Sus scrofa: one gene and its partners. The protein of the gene in region 2 interacts with the protein of the main gene of each other region in a biochemical or structural test. Links are inferred from orthologs where the notes say so. Each region holds a gene or a part of one and is shown on either strand. Other genes may lie near its edges.

Region 1 (3,736 bases), on a different chromosome or scaffold from region 2:
TCCCTGAGGTGCCAACGGTACGCATGGGTCAGTAAGGAAGAGAACGCACAAACTGTGTGAGCTGATGCAATATGTACAATCACTACTGCAGTCAAACAGCAACCAGGTGAGCATGTGAAGAGGTTCTTAGCTAGGAGATCAGAAAAAGCTTCTCTGAGAGGTGATGTTTCAGATCGGACCAGAACAAGGAGAAGCTGTCAGCCACAGAAAAATAGGGACGAGGGGCACAGTGTTCTCCCAGGCAGGGGAACAGCGTGTGTAAAGTCGTGAGGCTTTTCAGACACCACACAACTCTTAAAGGGGTGTAGAAGGGACCGAGAGACCCTTTTGTGTGCAGGGGACACTCAGTGTGCAAAAGCACTGGAAGGATAAAACTAGGCTTGTCTATGTGCAGAGGCTCCTATGAGACTCATAATGAAGCAAGATATCCTGCACTTCAAGATAGAAAAGCAGTATATGTTGCTATTTTGCTTTTCTTTAAGCATCTGGAGAACCATACTACACTTACATTGTGAGGTGAAATACTCTGATTAGCTCTAAGAACTGCCTAACTGCCAAGAGCTGAGAAAAAAGTATGAAGAAAAGGAATCCTCCTCCATAGAGCACTAAATTAAATGCAGTGCTCACACATCAAATAAAAGTACACAGGAGTTCCCGTTGTGGCTCAGCAGGTTAAGGACCTGATGTTGTCTCTGAAAGGATGCAGGTTCGATCCCTGGCCTCGTTCTACCAGTGGGTTAAGGATCTGGAGTTGCCACAAACTGTGGTGTGGGTCACAGATGCGGCTCAGATCTGGTGTTGCTGAGGTTGTGCCACAGGCTGGCAGCCACAGCTCCAATTTGACCCCTAGCCTGGGAATTTGCAAAGCCTCAAGTGTGACTGTAAAAAGAAAAAAAAAAAGGTGTTAATGGCAGAAGAGGGGAAGAAGGGAGGGACACACAAACACTTGAAAGGTGAAAATGGAGAGAAACAACTGTTTCTAGACTGGGTGACAATACCAGTAAAAGAAATGGAGATGCTGGGGGGTGGGGGGATGTGCCTGGGCTGTGGGATGGAAATCCTGTGAAATCAGATGGTTATGATCATTATACAATGACAGATGTGATCAATTCATTTGAGTAATTAAAAACAAAAAAAAGAACCATGTACCATACAAAAAAAGAAAGAAAGAAATGGAGATGCTGGAATATGCAAATCTAAGAAAAAAGATGCAGATGTGTTATTTCATAGGCAAAGCAGGATCCTACTTGAACAGTACATGATAACAATGTCATTTAAATGCAAGGAGGATCTGGGTGGCTAGGATCCATGAGGATTCGGGTTTGCTCCCTGGCCCCGCTCAGAGGTTGAGGATCCAGAGTTAAGGATCTGCAATGGCGTTGCCATGAGCTCTGGTGTAAATCGCAGATGCGGCTTGGATCCTGCGTGACTGTGGTGTAGGCCAGCAGCTGTAGCCCCGATTAGACCCCTAGCCCTGGGAATTTCCATATGATGTGGGTGCAGCCCTAAAAAAGCAAAAAAAAAAAAAAAACCTTAAAAATAAAAAATAAACACAAGGAGGACAGACCTTTCATTTCAATAAAACCAATTAGCTTCCCACATAGCGTTAACATGCCTAGGCTTATAACTTCTAATTCCTTCTGGGAAGTTTAAGAAACGATCCCTTCCTACTTACCAGCTCTATAGAAACTGTGAGGCATGGAAAGTGTTTATTAGTCAGCTTGATTTTCAAAGATCTGGCATTCTGGGCAGTTTTCAAGGCTCGAGATAAATTTTCCGACGTTAGCTCTAAATAAATCTCGTTGTTTTGTGCAGAGACACCTTCCATTTGAAATTCGCTGAAGAAGTTCTCCTAAGGGAAAAAAAGGCGGCGGGAGGGGGGGACATGTACGCCCTTCCCAATGGCATTTAGGGGGAGTCTGCAGGCCTCTCAGGAGCTGGCACTCACCTGTTCCAGCTCACACCACATGCTCACCCCTCCATTGGCCACCTTGTCAGAGAGGATGAAATTCAACTTATCCGGGCTGATGCGCAGCGTGCAGGTTTTGGCAAGCTTGGCTATCATGTTACTGACTCCTATAGCAAAGGGTTAAAATAAGAAATCACTAAGAAGCAGGCCGAGTATCCCAGACGCCACGTCAGCCTGCAGAACTCCCGATTCAGTTCGGCATGGTGCGCTTTCCCGGTGGAGAAAATCCCGTTTACACTACGACCCACCGGGAATACCGCTTTATCCCGCTGAAGTCACGCCAGCCTCTCAACAGGCCTGCACGGTAGCATCGCCCGCCGCCCTCAGGACTGGAAGAAAGAAACCCAGACTCAGAGGCTAACTGGTGCCGATCGGTCGCATTCGTTCATTCCGGGCCCACCTGCGGCCGCTGGGTCCTGCAGGGGGCAAGACTAGGCCGGCAGGGGCGGAGAGCGCTCTGGGACCGGAGTGGAAATAGAGGTCTGCGTCTTTAGGGGCCGGCGACCAGTTTAAGGAAAGCCACGCAAGGCAAGTCCGGTTTTAGGAACCATTCACGTCCACCTGCGCCCGCCGCCAGCCTCCGGCTGGGCCCCCATCCCTTTCGGCCCCACCCCGCCCCTCCTCGCAGGGCCCCAGCCGCGCGCACTGCCTCCTTCCCGGCCGCCCTCCCTCCACTCTGCCCTCCTCTCCACGACCTGGGCCGACGCGGCCGCTTACTCACGGGTGAAGTGGTTCAGACAGGCCCCGTCCACAATCTTGGCCCGAAACTTCATGGCGGGACGCGGCCCGCCGGGGGCGTCTGCCGGCGACACACTCCAGTGCGTCCCGCCTTAAGCTTCCCGCCGGAAACGCCGCAGCCCCGCCCTGGGTTCCGCCCGCCTCTTTGGGGCGGGGAGCCGGGCCTTTGGGTCCCGCCCCCGGGGTGTGGCAGCATCTGCCGGAAGTGACGCCATCACCCGCCCTCAGGTGCAGGAAGTGGTTCCGAGGCGGCCCAACTTGAAAGAACTTTTGCGATACTTATTTCCAGTGCTGTTTCAGAACCTCAGAAATAAAGTCAATCCTTTATTTATAAAGTATTAGGTGAAACGATCGCTTAAATATACACCTCTGATGTGGGGGAGCTTTAGAACCTCCCCTCATGTTGCTTTAAAATTGCTTTAAATTTCAAATTTGAGTCCGGTTGTGGCTCAAAGGTCACTAGCATCCACGAGGAGGCAGGTTCAGTCCCTGCCTTGCTCGCTGGGTTAAAGGACCCAGAGTGGCCATGAGCTGTGGTGTGGGTGGCAGAGGAGGCTGAGATCTTGAGTTGCTGTGGCTCTGGGGCAGGCGGGCAGCTGCAGCTCCCATTTGACCCCTCGCCTGGGAACTTCCATATGCTGCAGCTGCGCCCCTAAGAAAAGAATAAATCATTAGATGAAGTGGTTGCTCTGGAAGTCATGGATGTGATTAAATAATGTATCTGAACAAGCTTTGTAAACAGTGTTTCATAATATATTGATATTTACCTTAAATCACTTAGTTTTTTGCCATTTAAAAAAAACCATTTTTTTTAGGCATAACAACATCTATGGTGTTGGGTGTTTGGGGAAAATTGTCTAACCATAAATGACTGAGTTGATTTGTTCAAGAGGAAAAAAATTAGGAGTTCCTGTCATGGCTCAGTGGTTAATGAATCCGACTAGGAACCATGAGGTTGTGGGTTCGATCCCTGGCCTCGCTCAGTGGGTTAAGGATCCGGCGTTGCCTTGAGCTGTGGTGTAGGCCACA
Region 2 (3,748 bases):
GAAGTCACAGACCTTCTCCACTCTGCCTCCTCCCTTTCCTTTACATCTAGGTTTCCTCTCCCTTCAAATCTCAGTTTTACCTCCACCTCCTATCTCTTCTGGCCTTCCTCCCTCCACCCATCAATCAGAAGACACTAGTACTGGCTTCCTACCCCTCACCCCAGGATATCTTTCAGGTCTAAAGTTTAATTTTCCTTTCTATTCAGACCACCCTCTACCTCCAATGGCCAATCCTTTCTAGCCCGGAACGGCTCCCGCGACCCCCGCGACCCGACCCCCATCCAGACCACATAGGACAAGGGTCTCCAGGACCGCGAGGAGGGCCCTGGGAAAGGGCGGGGTGGAGGCAGTGCAGCCTAGTGGTGAGGGCACCTGGGCGCAGGGACTGGGAGCTGGTCGGTGTCGGTTCTAAGCGGAGTGGGCTCAGATGGATCCCATCCGCCGTCTGCCAGAGCGAGCAGGCCGCCCTTCCTCCCAGGGAGGGCCCGGGCCGCTCCGCGAGAGAGGTGAGGAGGCCGGGAGGTGGTGCAGAAGCGCGGTGCAGCCCCGCCACCTCCCGCCGGAGCCGGCCCTCCGCGCCGTCTTGCCGCCGGGCCCCCGGGCCTCCCTCCTGCCGCCGCTCACCTCTCTGCACCGTCAGCTCTGGGCTCCCGGAGGCTCCGCGCTGCTCCCACCTGCAGGCCGGGCCGCGTCCCCGGGCTGCGGGGTGGGGAATCCCGGGATCCCGCCGCGGGGGGGGGTGTTGTCCCGGGCCGGGGCCGGGGGTGGGGTCCCGCTCCGGAGCTTTCAGTTTGTTCCGCTGTTTGAAATTGGCGCCGGCGGAGCGTTGCGGTCACGTGACGGGCGTGGCCAATCGGCGGCGGCCTTGTTTCCGCGATCCGCCTAGTCGTCTGGGCGGGCGCTGCGGTCCAGCCCGGCAGGTGAGGTTGCTCGGCAGGCGGGAGAGGCCAGTGAGGTGGCCCCGCCGGGCAGTGAGGTCGGCGGAGCGGCGGCGGGTGAGGCAGGTGAGCTGGGGAGTCGGGACCGCCGGCGAAGCCGCGGCGGGCGAGGCGGAACCTAGAGGTGCGGGCGCGCGGCTCTTGGGGAGGGCGCTGGAGGGCTCCGCTGCGGCGGGACGCGGGGACACTGGGTATCACGGGCAGGCCCCGCAGCCCTCCGGGCCCTGAGCAGTCGCCGCCCCGGGATCTTACCCCCTCAGCGACTTCCCAGCTGGTGGAGGGGATGGGGGAACTGTCCTCCGTTGACCTGCAACCAGCGACCGTCCGGAGCCCCTACCGGCCTTCGGGCTACTTGGGCGCAGTTGTGACCTTGTTCAAGCTCCCTCCTCCTCAAAATTTACATACAGGCCGCAAACTCCGCCTCGGCTCTGAACCTTCAATCCAAATCTCGTCCCCGGCCCCATGCTATCGTTTATATGTGGTAAATTACTTTATTATTAACTTAGGCAACACCTAAGTTTAGTTGAGCACCCATTGTGCACCAGGCGGCGCTAGGATGCAGTGGCAGAGGGGCCTTTCTCCTGAGCTTAAGGTCTGATGGGAGGAGAAAGAAGACATTTTCGAAGCAAATTACCTATTTAAACAAATGGAGAGTTCAACTGTGAGGTGATAAATTAGAACTCGGGGATCACATTGAGTATCTCCAGTAAGAGGATCTGGCCTTAAGGGAGGTGAGAAGAGCATTTCCCAGGAACTCATGCTTGGTCTGTGATCTGATACCTTTAGGCAAAGGTGGGAGGGAGACCCTCAAAGCAAAGGGTGGGAGGTGCTGCAGGGCAGTGTGGTAGGAGGGGAGGAAGGGAGGTCTGCACAGAGGCTGAAGCGTCTCTGAGGAGTGTGAGCTAAGAGACCTGTGCAGAGTGCGTGTGAGATGAAGCTGGAACCAGAGCCTCAGGACCTTAGCCACCACTGAAAAGTTTGGCCCTTACAGAGAATCAAAACATGTTAAGCAGAAGAGAGTCAGGATTAGATTTGCAGTTTAAAGAGTTCACGGAGGGGTGTGCCTGAGTAGGCCAGTTAGGCTATTGCACTGCCCTAGGCCAGAATTGTTGGAACTTGAAGGGTGTGGGGGCCAGAGGGAGTAGGAGAAAGAGGAGTAGGGTAATGTTATTATTTTTCACAAAGGATTACTTTTATCAAATTTTGGGTTGAACCTAATAAACAAGTCTCAGAAAAAATAGATGGCCACTAATGCTGATCCCAAGTTTAGTACTGAACTATCACTAAACCCTATAATTCTGTTTCCCCCCCTTACAAGTATAAATTGACATAACACATTATATTAGTTTCAGTTGTACAACATAATGATTTGCATTTTGTGTGTGTGTGTGTGTGTCTTTTTTAGGGCTGCATCTATGGCATATGAAAATTCCCAGGCTGGGGGTCAAATTGGAGCTGTAACTGCTGGTCTACATCACAGCCACAGCAACACGGGATCCGGGATCCGAGCTGCATTTGCGACCTACACCACAGCTCACGGCAACGCCAGATCCTTAACCCACTGATTGAGGCCAGGGATCGAACCTGAGACCTCACAGTTCCTTGTTGGATTCGTTTCCACTGTGCCATGATGGGAACTCCCTTGTTCTCTTTTCTTCATGCAAGTTTTTCTTCACATCTTTTCAGATAGGTCCTCCCAACCAGCCCTAGGTCTAAACAGCCCTAGGTCAGCTCAGCCCTTAGGCCATTTCCCTTTTATCTGTACCTCTTATCACTTCCCAACTAGATGTAAGCGCCACGAGGGCAGGGATTGAATTTTGTAATCTGGTAAATATTTTCAGCACATGTAACAGTGCCCAAAAAATAGTCATTCTGTAAATATTTATTGAGTAAATGAATGAACAAATGGATGTATTTATTACCTATGTTCCCCCTAAAATATTAGGGTACCCTCTACCCTTGAGGGTAGAGACTTAGTCCTTATTTTTCTTTACCTGCATCTCCACTGCTTAGTGACATGAGGGATGTTGCTTTTTTGTTGTTGACTGAATGGATGAGTCATGGCTGTATAGTAGAACCAGTCTGCCCTGCTGTGTGGACCTCTGGGATGCCCTGCCCTACCTCCTACTCTTCTGCCCACTGCATTCAGACTTTGGTCCCACCAACCATTGATAAGTTCTTACTAAAACTGATCTGGGGAGTTCCTGTTGTGGCTCAGCGGTAATGAACCCAACAAGTATCCATGAGGTTATGGGTTTGATCCCTGGCCCCGATCAGTGGGTTAAGGATTCAGCGTAGCTGTGCTGAAGGCTGGCAGCTATAGCTCTGATTTGACCTCTAGCCTGGGAACTTCCATATACCACACCTGTGGCCCTAAAAAGAAAAAAAAAGCTGATCTGGTTCTAGGTTCCCTGGATGCTTTTTCAGACTTTGTATTGCTTTGTGGGTCCTGCTGACCCTGCCTCTGTCTCCAGCCTCCCATCCCTACATGACACAGCCCATGTTCTGGCCTCATCTGCTCTCAGGTAATACAATAACCTTCTCACTGGTCCCCCTACTTCCAGGGCACTTGTTCTCTCCTTTCACGCTGCTGCCAGGACAACAGAAACAAACAAAAACCAGTTATGGCACTTAGGAGACAATTGAAAATTTGAACACTGGTTATTTGATATTTACTATTTAAAGAATCTACATATGTAAATATATATTGTATATTATATAGATACATACAAAATATAAATGTATGTATTTTATACATTTATGTTAAATGTATAGTGTTAGTTGTGTTAATAGGAATGAAACCATGACTG
Region 3 (3,748 bases), on a different chromosome or scaffold from region 2:
CTTAACCCACTGAGCCACAACAGGAACTCCCCGATCATACTTTTTAAAATAATCTTGTGCCTCTAGTGTACTTTATGAAGAAAAATAACACATATATATCAATCTCTCTATATATTCATATATCTATAGTTTTTGTCTCTCTCCTTTACAAGAATGAAAGTTTCATTCTCTTTCTTGTTTGCCAACATATCATGACTCCCAGTAAGCACTTAAGAGTATTTTCAGAATAAATTTTGAAGTTCTTATGTTAAATACTTAGCGTCATCCTTTTTAAATTAAGTCAGATTATGTCACTCTTCAGAGTATAACTCTCCAGTGGCTCTGTTTCACTGCAAGATAAAAGTCAAAATCCTTACAATGGCCCACAAGGCCCTCCTGACCTTTCTACTCTTACTCTCTGCAGTAAACCTAAACAGTCTTCCCCCATCCCTTGCTCACTACTCTTCAGCCACATTATTGCTGAACAGACACTGTGACACTTTCCCAGGGGCCTGTGTGTGATTATTCTTTCTGCCTGAAACCTTTTTCCCCAGATATCTATATGGCTCATTATCTCACCTTCAAGTGTACTCAAATAGAACCTTCTTCATAAAGTCTACCCTGATCACATTCTATTTAAAATAAATTGTTATCTTCCCTTCTCCTTTTCCCCCAACAAACATCCTCCAGAACCCTTTAACCTGTTTTGCATTTCTCTCCCCACGGTACTTAGCACCTTTAACACACTATAGTTTCTTCATTTATATGTCTGATTAATGTCTATTTCCTCCTAGACTAAAATGAAAACTCTGAAAAACTATGGATCTTTGTCTGCTCTGATCACTGACACATGCCGAGTACTAGAACAGTGCTCATCAGATGAAGGATACTCAATAATTACTTGCTGAATGAATGAACTTTAAAAAGAAACCTGCTACAACAGTGGTTTTTAAACTTTAACAGACCCAGGATCTTGGTTTTTTTTTTTTTTTTTTTTTGCTTTTTAGGGCTGCACTCACGACATATGGAAGTTCCCAGGTGGAATGGGAGCTAAAGCTGCTGGCATTCACCACAGCTATAGCAACACAGGATACAAGCAGAGTCTAAGACCTACACCACAGCTCATGGTAATGCTGGATCCTTAACCCACTGAGCAAGGCCAGGGAAGGAAGCCGCATCCTCCTGGATCCTAGTAAGGTTTGTTAACTGCTGAGCTACTAAGGGAATTCCTGAACACAGGATCTTGTTAAAAACCAGATTCTAGCTGCTAAGTATGAGTTAGGGCCCAACTCTCAGGCCATGGTGATGCTACTGATGATGTCAGTGAGTAACAAGGCTCTACACGACCCTACCTGCTCTGATACAATACTGTACATAACAAAACATAGTTTTAACAATTAACATCAACAAAAAGAAAGTGTAACCAATACAGGACTCACATTTTTTTCAACAAAGGTCTGTGGTTTGTAGACAAAAAGAAATTATTTTCAGAACAGCAGGTCCACCACTTTCAACAGAAATGTCATCAAAGATTTCATGCACCCCCAAATATATAATGTTTACATCAATTCAAAAATGTGTAACAATGAGATATCTAATAATGTAGACTACAGTAAAACTATTATGAACATAAAATAATTATGAATAAGACATAATAGGCCTAATAAATCAAAACAACTAAAAACAAGAAAAGGAATTCACTGCATCAAACAAGACATTTTCAAGTATTCTTACCTCAAGAGCTTTAAAAAAACATTCGGAATTGTCTGAAGACTTTAAAAACTTCACAAAAAACGGTTCTTTGTCATTTTTGGACATTTTTGAACTGTCAAAATAAAGGAACCGTTAACAAGAACATTACATATGAAGTTAAATGTTTAAAGCACCTATTTTCCTGCGTAGATAAGAATGCCTCAGGACAAACATTCTGGCCTTGCCTTTGAATTCATCATTACGGTTTGTAGAAAACACTGGAATGTGGACAAAGTCAAGGAAAAAGATGACAACACCAATCCTTGCAAATAAATCGGATAACGAAATTAAGGTCGCTAAATTGAATCCGTCAAGGGCCTGTGCTCAGGGGCTCTAAGTTCCTTAAGCCAAAGCGCATTCAATTGTACTTAGCTTAAAGATCCTCTGAATGAATCGGTCCCTGCGGGAATCCGCGGCCCTTGAGGTACGTTCAGCCCTCAGTAATGTAAACGTTTAAATATAAACGTGAAAACAAGCGAGCAAAGTCATGCCCCGTAATTGGCCGCCGAAAAGCGCTTGCTCCCCAGCTCCCGGGGCAAGGCCCGGCTCTTGGTCCAGCAAGCAGTCATGTCCTCTCTGGCGTCTAAGTTCCACCCGCCGGTCCCGGGCCGGTTACAGGGCCCCAAAGGCCAGAGACAGCGTCCCGAAAGCACCGCGGGATGGAGAAGGAGCTGACTCCTCTCTCCGAGCTTCACTCACCACGGTGGCGCCTGGGGGTCTCCGGGCGGCGAGAGTGGGGCCGCGCAGCCGGCAAGACGGCTGCTGGGCTCGGGCGCCAGCCCGGCGCACACCCGCCGCACCCGGCGGCGCCCCCGGCCCAAAGCAAGCGCAGACCCGGAAATTGCCGAACCCGAACTGACTTTCGCGCCAACTGCAGAAACTTCCGGCGGAAGTGACATCAACGGAGTCGAGCGAGGCGGGCAGAGGCGTCTAGAGACGTGGTGGGCGGTCGCTATGGTGAGGTGGGATCCCAGTCTAGGTGTTCTGGAAATCTAGGGCTAGAGCCTTTGGGACCTCCGGGCTCGGAAGGGCGAGCTGGGCTCCGCTGGGAGTTGGCCAAGCGCTGAGGACTAGCGGGTAGGGGGCCCGGAGTTCCTTAGAGGAGGCCCCAATACACCCAAAAAATAAAGCCAGGGGAAAGAGGGTTTTCCTCGATAAATATTTTACACCTAGAGACCATGTATTATCGTCCAAAACAACACTGTGGGGCAAATAGTGGTATCTCCACTTTATAGATGTAAAAACTGTGGCTTAGGGAAATTAAGTGACGTGCTCAAGGTCACAGTAAAGTAGAATTTAGACTGCTTCCGGGTCTGTTTCACCCTGTGGACTGGCGGACTGGATTCTTTTCCTTTCAGTGTATTATGAATGTATTCATCAGCTACCTCAGCCAGGAAGTCTAAAGGGAAGAAAGGTGTCAGGACGACCTGAATTACACACCTGGTGCAAAGAGATCTTTACCAAGGTCTTCTGTGATTCCCCCTTCCCTTAAACCTTTCAATGAGCATCTCATTTTCCTTCTCTGTAACCACTTGAGTTAGATTCTGGGATGGAAGCTACTGTTGAGAAGGCAAAGATCAGGGGAGAGGAGGTGAAACAGGATCGCTGGATCCTGGCTGGTTGATGGACAATGACAAAGTGCTGAGTTAGCATTTTCTCCTCAATTTATTCCAGACGAGGTTGATAAAGTCATGACTTGAGTAATGTTGAGAGTTTAAGGCCCTGTACCTTGATTGTTTTTCTTTTCCGTTTTAATGTCTCAATATAGCAAAGAGCAGCTTGGGTCTAAGTGTGTGAACATATCTGTGGAAGGGTAGTCAGAATAACACAGGGGCTCAAAGGTAAAGCACTGTTATCAGGGAGATGGTGAGGCAAGTCTACATACACATGAGTGAAAGTTACTAGAGTTGTAAAAAGAAATGGCACCGCCTCAGTTCACTGTGAGGGAGCAAGTCTGTGGTGAGCTGTGTAGTAATTACTGTTGTCAGGCACCCCACAGTGGACAGGGGACTCCTGC

The links.
Region 1: the proteins of RHNO1 (region 2) and HUS1 form a complex in vitro, tested with the Homo sapiens proteins (2 studies listed by BioGRID). The link is inferred for Sus scrofa from reciprocal best matches to the Homo sapiens genes RHNO1 and HUS1.
Region 3: the proteins of RHNO1 (region 2) and TOPBP1 form a complex in vitro, tested with the Homo sapiens proteins (2 studies listed by BioGRID). The link is inferred for Sus scrofa from reciprocal best matches to the Homo sapiens genes RHNO1 and TOPBP1.

What each region holds. Positions count from the first base shown.
Region 1 is NC_010460.4:48,522,044-48,525,779, reverse strand, and holds the start of HUS1 (checkpoint protein HUS1), read right to left. Parts: upstream 2,839-3,736; 5' UTR 2,743-2,838; coding exon 2,691-2,742; exon of another isoform or gene 2,687-2,690; intron 2,077-2,686; coding exon 1,949-2,076; intron 1,853-1,948; coding exon 1,676-1,852; intron 1-1,675. UniProt on the Homo sapiens protein: Component of the 9-1-1 cell-cycle checkpoint response complex that plays a major role in DNA repair. The 9-1-1 complex is recruited to DNA lesion upon damage by the RAD17-replication factor C (RFC) clamp loader complex.
Region 2 is NC_010447.5:67,243,259-67,247,006, reverse strand, and holds the start of RHNO1 (RAD9, HUS1, RAD1-interacting nuclear orphan protein 1), read left to right. Parts: upstream 1-856; 5' UTR 857-1,004; exon of another isoform or gene 1,005-1,062; intron 1,063-3,748. UniProt on the Homo sapiens protein: Involved in microhomology-mediated end-joining (MMEJ) DNA repair by promoting recruitment of polymerase theta (POLQ) to DNA damage sites during mitosis.
Region 3 is NC_010455.5:74,843,758-74,847,505, forward strand, and holds the start of TOPBP1 (DNA topoisomerase 2-binding protein 1), read right to left. Parts: upstream 2,621-3,748; 5' UTR 2,431-2,620; intron 1,805-2,430; 5' UTR 1,798-1,804; coding exon 1,714-1,797; intron 1-1,713. UniProt on the Homo sapiens protein: Scaffold protein that acts as a key protein-protein adapter in DNA replication and DNA repair. Composed of multiple BRCT domains, which specifically recognize and bind phosphorylated proteins, bringing proteins together into functional combinations.